Linked DNA regions of Pelodiscus sinensis. The protein of the gene in region 1 interacts with the protein of each later gene in a biochemical or structural test. Links are inferred from orthologs where the notes say so. Each region holds a gene or a part of one and is shown on either strand. Other genes may lie near its edges.

Region 1 (3,748 bases):
CACAGGGACAGTGTATGCTCCCACAGCAGCATACTCCCAGTTCTAAAACCTTACAAAAGCATAGCACACCTGATGGAATAGAAATCCATGACTGTGTGTACCAGTTGCATCCTGAAGCTTGATCCATCCTTTCACTCAGACACACAATCACTGTAATACAGTGCTACAGATCACATATCACCATTCTCCTTGCAGCAACCAAATGATTCTAAGATGGGAAACAGAGAAGAAACTACTGCTCATCAATTCCAACAGTTAACATGGGCTTTTGGGAAGGGAGCACAGGACTTTAAATTTATGTAACACCATGTAGCCAAAAGCAGAGAAAAGAAAAAAGAATGGCCTCATCACTAAAGGTCCAAATAAAAACACATTTTAAAGATGGTATCTAAGATCATGCCTCTTCCGCTGATAGCTATTAGCAGAAATGGCAGGTGTATGTGCTCCATCTTTTGCACTGGTCTTTGGATAATAGATTTTGGTCTTTGGGGAGTAGGTTTAATCCTCTGGCTCTTAAGAGTATCATAAAACATTCAAGACCTATACGTGTTAGATTAGCTGGAGAGAGGAAGCTATGCAATAAGTATGGTTATAGGCCATTTCATGGGCTGAAAAACAGTAAAAACAGAGGAGAAAAGTAGAGAATATAGTGTAGAAAAATTATATGAAGAAGGTGGAGGAAAAAATTTAATTACCAGGAGTTTACAACATTGCTTATAGATTTGGCTATATTTCTTTATGTTTAAGGGAGGATAGCTGGAAGTAGAAGGAAGGAGCACAAACATTCCTTATCTTGGCTAACAGGATCTGGAAAACAACTTCCAGTAAATCCACATGCAGCTATAACCTAAGCATAATAAAACCCACATTTTACTGGAGGACGTAATTTAACCAGGCATCTTGGCAACATAATGCAACAAACCTTTTCTTAGCTGGATCTGTTTATCAGGTAGCTTGACATCTCTTTGGTGGTTGTCTTCATCACTGACTTTTTTATCCCATCTTCCCTGATGGGCAGGATTTGTAGCAGGAGTCAGGATCAAATCACTGTTGACATTTGTCTCTAACAGTTTTCCCTTATAGGGCACTGGATGCTGCTTTTCATGAGATACCTTAGCTTTCATTCTTTGGAAGATTTTTGCTGGAGATTCACGAGTTAAAGGATCACAAGCTTTGCGTTTCAGTACATTTTTGTCTTTTAGTGGCAAGATCTGTTGCTGAGGGCAAGACGCAACTTGCATTGCTACAGTGTCAGACACTGGCCTTATTTCACTGAGGTCAAGAAATTCTTTAGCATAAGTGTCCTCTGTTATTAATGTGGACTGAAAAATACCTTCCCTTTTCTTGAAAGTTCCTGTTCCTCTTGCAGAGTTTTCCTTGAAGTCACACAAACCTGAAGGGAGCATAGTTTCTTTTGTTGCAGAGGTAGTAATACCAGCATGTTGAAATTTCACCAACTCTTTCAAAGGAGTAATAGTACCTGAAGGTATGTTGCTCATAAAGACTGCCTGCAAAGGCATAGCTCCTTTTCTAACAGAAGAAATAGGAGACTTTAAAATATGTGTATTTTTTACAGGTGCTGCAGTCATTCTGCCAATGTTGACACCAATGTTTTGTGCTCTTACTGCAAAGCCATTGAAGCGTGCATGTTTAGGTACAGTATTTTAAATAAAGGAAGAAGCACGAATTCCATGGACTGCCAACTTTATTTGCCTGCATTTCATCTAAAAAGAAAAACAGGGTTAAAAGAAGCTTGTCTTTGTATTTTCATAAGGAGTGCCACATTTCCCAAGTTAGCTTCCCTCACGCTGCGATCTGTGCTGCATACACGCTGCCTGCCTGCTTGTTTCCAGTTAATTATTTTCAGAAGTGGTCACACCAACACAGCACCAGACTTACGTTTATCAGCTGGATCCGCAGGGGCTGTGTGAAGAAGGGATGTCACTAGTTCACCACGAGTAGCCCTGTGGCACTTGAGGGACTCACAAAAATACACAGTACCATGCGCTTCCGTGGGCAAAACCCACCCCTCAGATAAGCTCCTGTGAGGAGGTGGGTTTTGCCCAGGACAGTGTGTTATTTTGTGGTGGTTGCTAGTCTCTACCCAGTGTGTCCCAGCCAGTGGTACGAGCACCCTTAGGGGTACTCAGAGAAGTGGGGGGGGGGGTGCATCAACACGACTGAAGTGTGGAGAAAGCGGGGTGTTGTGGGAGGTCTGACAGCGCTGTATTATCTCTGCCCTTTTCACAGCCAGCAGCTCAGCGCCCGCCCGCTAGATGCGGTTGTTTAAACAAACGTGCTGCGATGGCAGACCCCCCCCCCCCGGCTCCGCTGCTACGGGGCTGCCGCTTTTTTTAAAGGGTACTTCGTTACAAAAACAAAACAAGCGCAAAGCCAGACCCGCAGCCACGCAGCATCCCCGGGCCGGGCGAGGCGGCTCCCGGCCCCCCCCCGGATCCCCGCTCGCGGGGTCACCGACGCCACGGGGCTGCCGGGCAGGGCCCGAACGGGGTGCACCCCGCGGCCGTGGGGGCGGCCGGAGCCCGCCAAAGCCTCGCGCGCACGGCGCCCCCCTTCCTCCCCCGCAGCAAGGGCCGGGCGGCCGCACTCACCCGCCGCCTCGTCCGCGCGCGCGCGCACCCCGCGGCCGTTAGCCGGTTTGAGTCCCGCCGCCCGGCGCGCGGATTGGCGGCGAGGGGAGTGACGTAGCGCGCCGCTCGCGGCGACGGGTGGAGCCTGGAGAGCGGGGGCGGAGCCTCCCCCCGCAGCCGTTTGTGTCTGAGGAGAGGAGAGGCACGAGGCCGGGTGGGGGAGAGGGGACGCCGCCCCGAACGCGCCCCGCCCCGCCCCGCCCCGCCCCGCGCGGGCTGGGCAAACCCCCCTTCCCCGGGGAGCGGGAGCCCCAGACACCGGGAGCTGCGAAAGGGCCGGTCAGTGGTAGGACGTGGAACGACCCTGGCAGACAGCAGGTTGAAAACCGGCACAGCCAACCTGTGGAACTCCTCGCCGGAGGATGTTGTGAAGACCAGGACTTTAACAGGGCTGGGGAAAGAGCTGACAGACTCCAGGGCAGGAAGGTGACCTCAGTGCTCGAGGTCAGGTCCATCAGTGGCTGTTAGCTAGGCCCAGAGACCTCAGAAGGTCAAGTCCAGCCCCCTGCTCCAGGCAGGACCAAGCCCAAGGATGGGCAGCAATGGTGCCTGCAGCCTCTGTCTCTCAGAATGGGAATGGGTGAGAGCAGAGGGATACTTGGTAATTCCCTGTTCTGTTCCTTAACTCGGGGGCATCTGACATGGGCCATTGTTGGAAGAGAAGACACGGGGCTAGATGGACCTGTGATGTGACAACCCATAGGCTGGTCTTAAGTTTGTTCTTTTGAGCATTTTGCTTGTGGATCCTCAGCTGGCAGTTCTGCAGGAGCCTGTTAGAAAAGAAAGTGTTATTAACTCTCCTCCCCCACCTCTAGAATGTAACCACCACCTACTACTCAAAATTCATGTTGTGGAATTTGGCCCATTTCTGAACCCTGGTAGTTTCATGTGTATTTGCTAATACCACAAACAGTAACAGGATTTTACTTCCCATGTCAAATAGCTGAGCGAGAAAAAGTATTGTCTTCCCCCTCAAGCATTTTATGTGACTGAACCTCTTTACTCCCCAGTTACTTACAGTGCATGTGTTTACATAATCCCAGTGTTGTTTATCAAGGGGTATCTCTGCTTTTGTTCTTCAAATGTCTCAAGACTTT
Region 2 (3,748 bases), on another chromosome or scaffold:
GGTAGAAGGGATATTGGTGCACGGGATGAGAATTAACAATTTGAGGTTCACGGATGTTATAGTTATCGAGGAAGATGAAGAGAAACTAGTGAGAACAGTGCAAGTGCTAAATGAGGAAGGGAAGCGGTATGGACTGATTATGAATATTGATAAAACAAAGACAATGGTATTTGGAGATAAAGAAATAGGAAGGAAGATCAGTGTAGATGGGATCAAACTAGAGAATGTAGAGAAGTTCAAATATTTGGGGAGCAATATTACATATGATCTAGACTGTAAGAAGGAAATAGTGACTAGAGTAGCGAAAGCAAGAGCGAGTTTGAAGTTGATGGATAAGATCTGGAAAAGTAAAGCGATTAGCTTAGGAATGGAATTGAGCATCTTGAAAATGTGTGTATTTAGCAGCATGTTTAGGGATGTGAGACATGGGTGATAATGAAAGATTCAAAGAGAAGGATATTGACGTTCAAGAGGAGTTATAGAAAGATACTGAGAATATGATGGATGCAGAAGGTCACCAACGAGGAATTATATAGGAAGATACAGCCAAAAAAAAAACCTACTGCAGAAGGTTATACAATGGAAGTTACAGCTATTTGGGCATATCTGCAGAATGAACAATGAGTGAAAAGTTAAGACCCTGGTATTCGGCATAACGGACAGTCCAGTTTGGAGAGGCAGACTGCACAGAGAATGGGTGGGGAGCTAGTCTACAGAAACTAAGTGACTCAGCAGTGGAGGCATCAGACACCAACGGGCGTTGAGCCCATGGTGGTTGTTGATGATGATGATGGTGAATGTCTTCCTGCCCAATCTGGCGGGGTGGCCATGCGCGGCATGGTCAGCTGGGCGATAGATCTCTTTGGCTCTTGAAGTGGCAGGATTGCCCTAGCGCAGGTGGGGCACAGTCTCCGTAAACTGGTTCCAGAAATCAGCCTAGACTGGAAAACAGGCTGGCAGGGCAACAGCAGCCTCCCCTCCCCTCCCCTCGCCTCCCACCCGCCAGTGCCGGGCCGGGCCGGGCCACTGCCGCAAGGGGCGCGCGGGGCGCAGTCACCTGGGCAAACGCGCCACAGGCCCTATATGACACGCGGCACCCAGGAGAACTTAGCCCCGCCCCCACCACTGCCGGAAAGGGGCGGGGCTCTTCTCCGTCCCCGCCCTGCTCAGACAAGGGAAGGGGGCGGGGCTTCGCCGGCAGGGGTTCCTCTTTGTCCCTGCCCCTCTGCGCTCCGCTCGTGCGCGCCGCTTCCGCTTCCGGGCGGCGGGCGGTTTGAAGGTGGGGGATGGCGGGCGCGCAATACGTGCCGCCGGGCGCGGGGCTGGAGGCGTCGCTGTCGCTGCTGGAGGCGGAGAGCAGCCGGGGCACGGCGGCCCCCGACGAGCCGGAGGAGCTGCCCATGGTGTTCCTGTGCGCCGGCTGCAAGCGGCCCGTGGGGGACACGCTGGGCTGGGTGGCCAACGAGGAGGAGACCGGCTGCGTCCTGCTGCGCAGTGAGTCCCCGCGCGCGCGAGGCTGGCGGGGGAAGCGAATCTCTGCCGGCCCCCGCCGGCTCCGAGCCCGTTCCTTCCGCTCCGCCCGCCCGCGGCCGTTAGTGACGGTTGGTCCCGCCTGTCTCTTGCAGGCGCCTCCCCCAACGTGTCGGTAGAGAAGGAGCAGAAGCTCTCCAGCCGGCCCGGCGAGTGCGGATGGTGAGTGGGCAGGGCCGAGGGGCCTGGCAGCCGGGACATCCAGGGTCGCGGGCACCGCTGAATGACGACCGGGGCGTGCCCGAAGTATCCCAGCCCCCTACCGCTGGCCTCCCCCACTGCTGGAAGGGGAGAGCAGCCGGGGCACGGCGGCCGCGAGACGGGAGAAGCAGGAGGCGTTGCCCATGGCGTAGCTATATCAACACTAGGGATGTTAAAAAGCGGGTAACTGGGTGAAAACCTTCAAAGCAGCTCCACGCACCTGCAGCCTGCATTGGCTCCCGGCTCCTGACATGTACTGGCTCCCTGCTCCTAAGGAGCTGGCTGCCACCCTGCAGTGTAAGCCCTGATACAGAGGCCATGGTGCAGGATGGCAGCTGACTCCCCAAGAGTGGGGCAGGAACCTGCATGTAACCGTTCCCGTACCGATAACACCAGAGTGATCAGTTAACTGTTTAAATGGTTATTCTGTTACATCCTTAGTCAGCACTTGATTCGTTAAGCAAAACAAAGCCAATTCCTCAGTACGCACATATCCCTTGGGTTGGTGCAGCCTGAATAGGCACAGTGGATACCAGCCACAGACTGAACCTTCTTGAGGTCTGGCTTTGAAACAGCGGGTAATGGTGCACCATGGGTGCTGCTATTGGTCATGCCACTGAAACGATGCTCCCAATCAGAAGGGTTTTATTATGTGACTTCAAATGTCTCCTGCACAAATCTTAAATGGTGAATGAAAATGGAAGAAAACTTATTCAGTTCATAATCATAAAACCCCAAATAGGATAAGGATCTTTTAGTTACTGCTTGGGAGGGAGTTACCAAAAATTTCAATCCAAATACTAGTTTGGAAGTCAATTTTATCTAGTATAGGCTAAAGTATTCTGCTGTATAGCTGAGTAATTTACCTTGCTAAGATCATGCATAGGGTTCAAGGGTTATATATTTGGAATGAGTAAAACAAATGAGGAATCCTGTGGCACCTTAAAGGCTAACTGATTTATTGGGGCAAACCACTTTGTCAAATGCATGGTAAAATGTGTGTGTGCTGATGCATTGGCCTTGTTGGCTTAAAGCCTGAAGTTCAGGTGTTGATATAGCTGCCATATTTGAAACATTTTTCATTATGCTGCAGTTGCAGACTAACATGACTATACTGATTCATAGAATGAAATGAAACAGATATACATGAATATGTGTAATTTTTTGCATTACATAACCACATTTCACTCTTTTTTCCTAATGTGATTTACTGACACAGTGGTAGTGGATACTCTCTTCGAAGTAAGATTAGAAGTGAATGAATTGGAATCAATTTAAATCATCTTTCTAAACAAGTGGTTATATATTTGCTTATAGCATGATTGAAACTTTGTTCTGCTCTGGCTGTTCAATGACCCTTGGGAACATCTACAGATGCACCCCAAAACATCTTGACTATAAGCGAGATTTATTTTGCTTCAGTGTTGACTCAATTGACAGGTAAGGATGAGACCAAATGATTCAAGTTGTCAAATATGCTAATTGATTTTTGCCTTTTAGATTAAATGCCAGGTAGTTTGGGTTCATTACTTAACACTTTTAGCAATCAGATATTTATTATTAAGCTTGTATTAAGGTGAGTATGTGGGAGGGTATTTGGGAAAGGTTATGGATTACTCCTCTAATCTCCTTTTGTTCAAGAACAGTATTCTGTATTGTGGAGCAGGCAAAATATGGGCTGTCGCCAATGTCTTGATCCTTGAATAGGCACCGTGCCTGCTATACCCCCATGTGCCTTTCAAAGTGGCCAGCTGTTGGTGCTTGTACATCACAGCACCAAGGGCCCCATGTCGGGGCATGGAGGCTTCATTCACTGCCCGCACCTCAGCAGAGTCTTGTAGCTCCAATTGGCTAGAAATGTGTGAAGTTTCCCCTTCCCCAAGAGGTGTGTAATGCAGAGATGCCTACTTAAAGCTGCTGGCTACTTGGATCACATGCAAGTCTTGCTAGGCTGTTAGCTGGGAGTCACCTAGGGTAAGTGCCTCCTCGTTAGAACCTGCACCTGGCACCCTGTCCC

The links. The genes of interacting proteins can lie anywhere in the genome.
Region 2: the proteins of MIS18BP1 (region 1) and MIS18A form a complex in vitro, tested with the Homo sapiens proteins (2 studies listed by BioGRID). The link is inferred for Pelodiscus sinensis from reciprocal best matches to the Homo sapiens genes MIS18BP1 and MIS18A.

The regions. Positions count from the first base shown.
Region 1 is NC_134714.1:3,100,848-3,104,595, forward strand, and holds the start of MIS18BP1 (mis18-binding protein 1), read right to left. Parts: upstream 2,728-3,748; 5' UTR 2,613-2,727; intron 2,057-2,612; exon of another isoform or gene 1,900-2,056; intron 1,725-1,899; 5' UTR 1,590-1,724; coding exon 923-1,589; intron 1-922. UniProt on the Homo sapiens protein: Required for recruitment of CENPA to centromeres and normal chromosome segregation during mitosis.
Region 2 is NC_134711.1:182,550,648-182,554,395, reverse strand, and holds the start of MIS18A (protein Mis18-alpha), read left to right. Parts: upstream 1-1,194; 5' UTR 1,195-1,286; coding exon 1,287-1,494; intron 1,495-1,625; coding exon 1,626-1,692; intron 1,693-3,048; coding exon 3,049-3,171; intron 3,172-3,748. UniProt on the Homo sapiens protein: Required for recruitment of CENPA to centromeres and normal chromosome segregation during mitosis.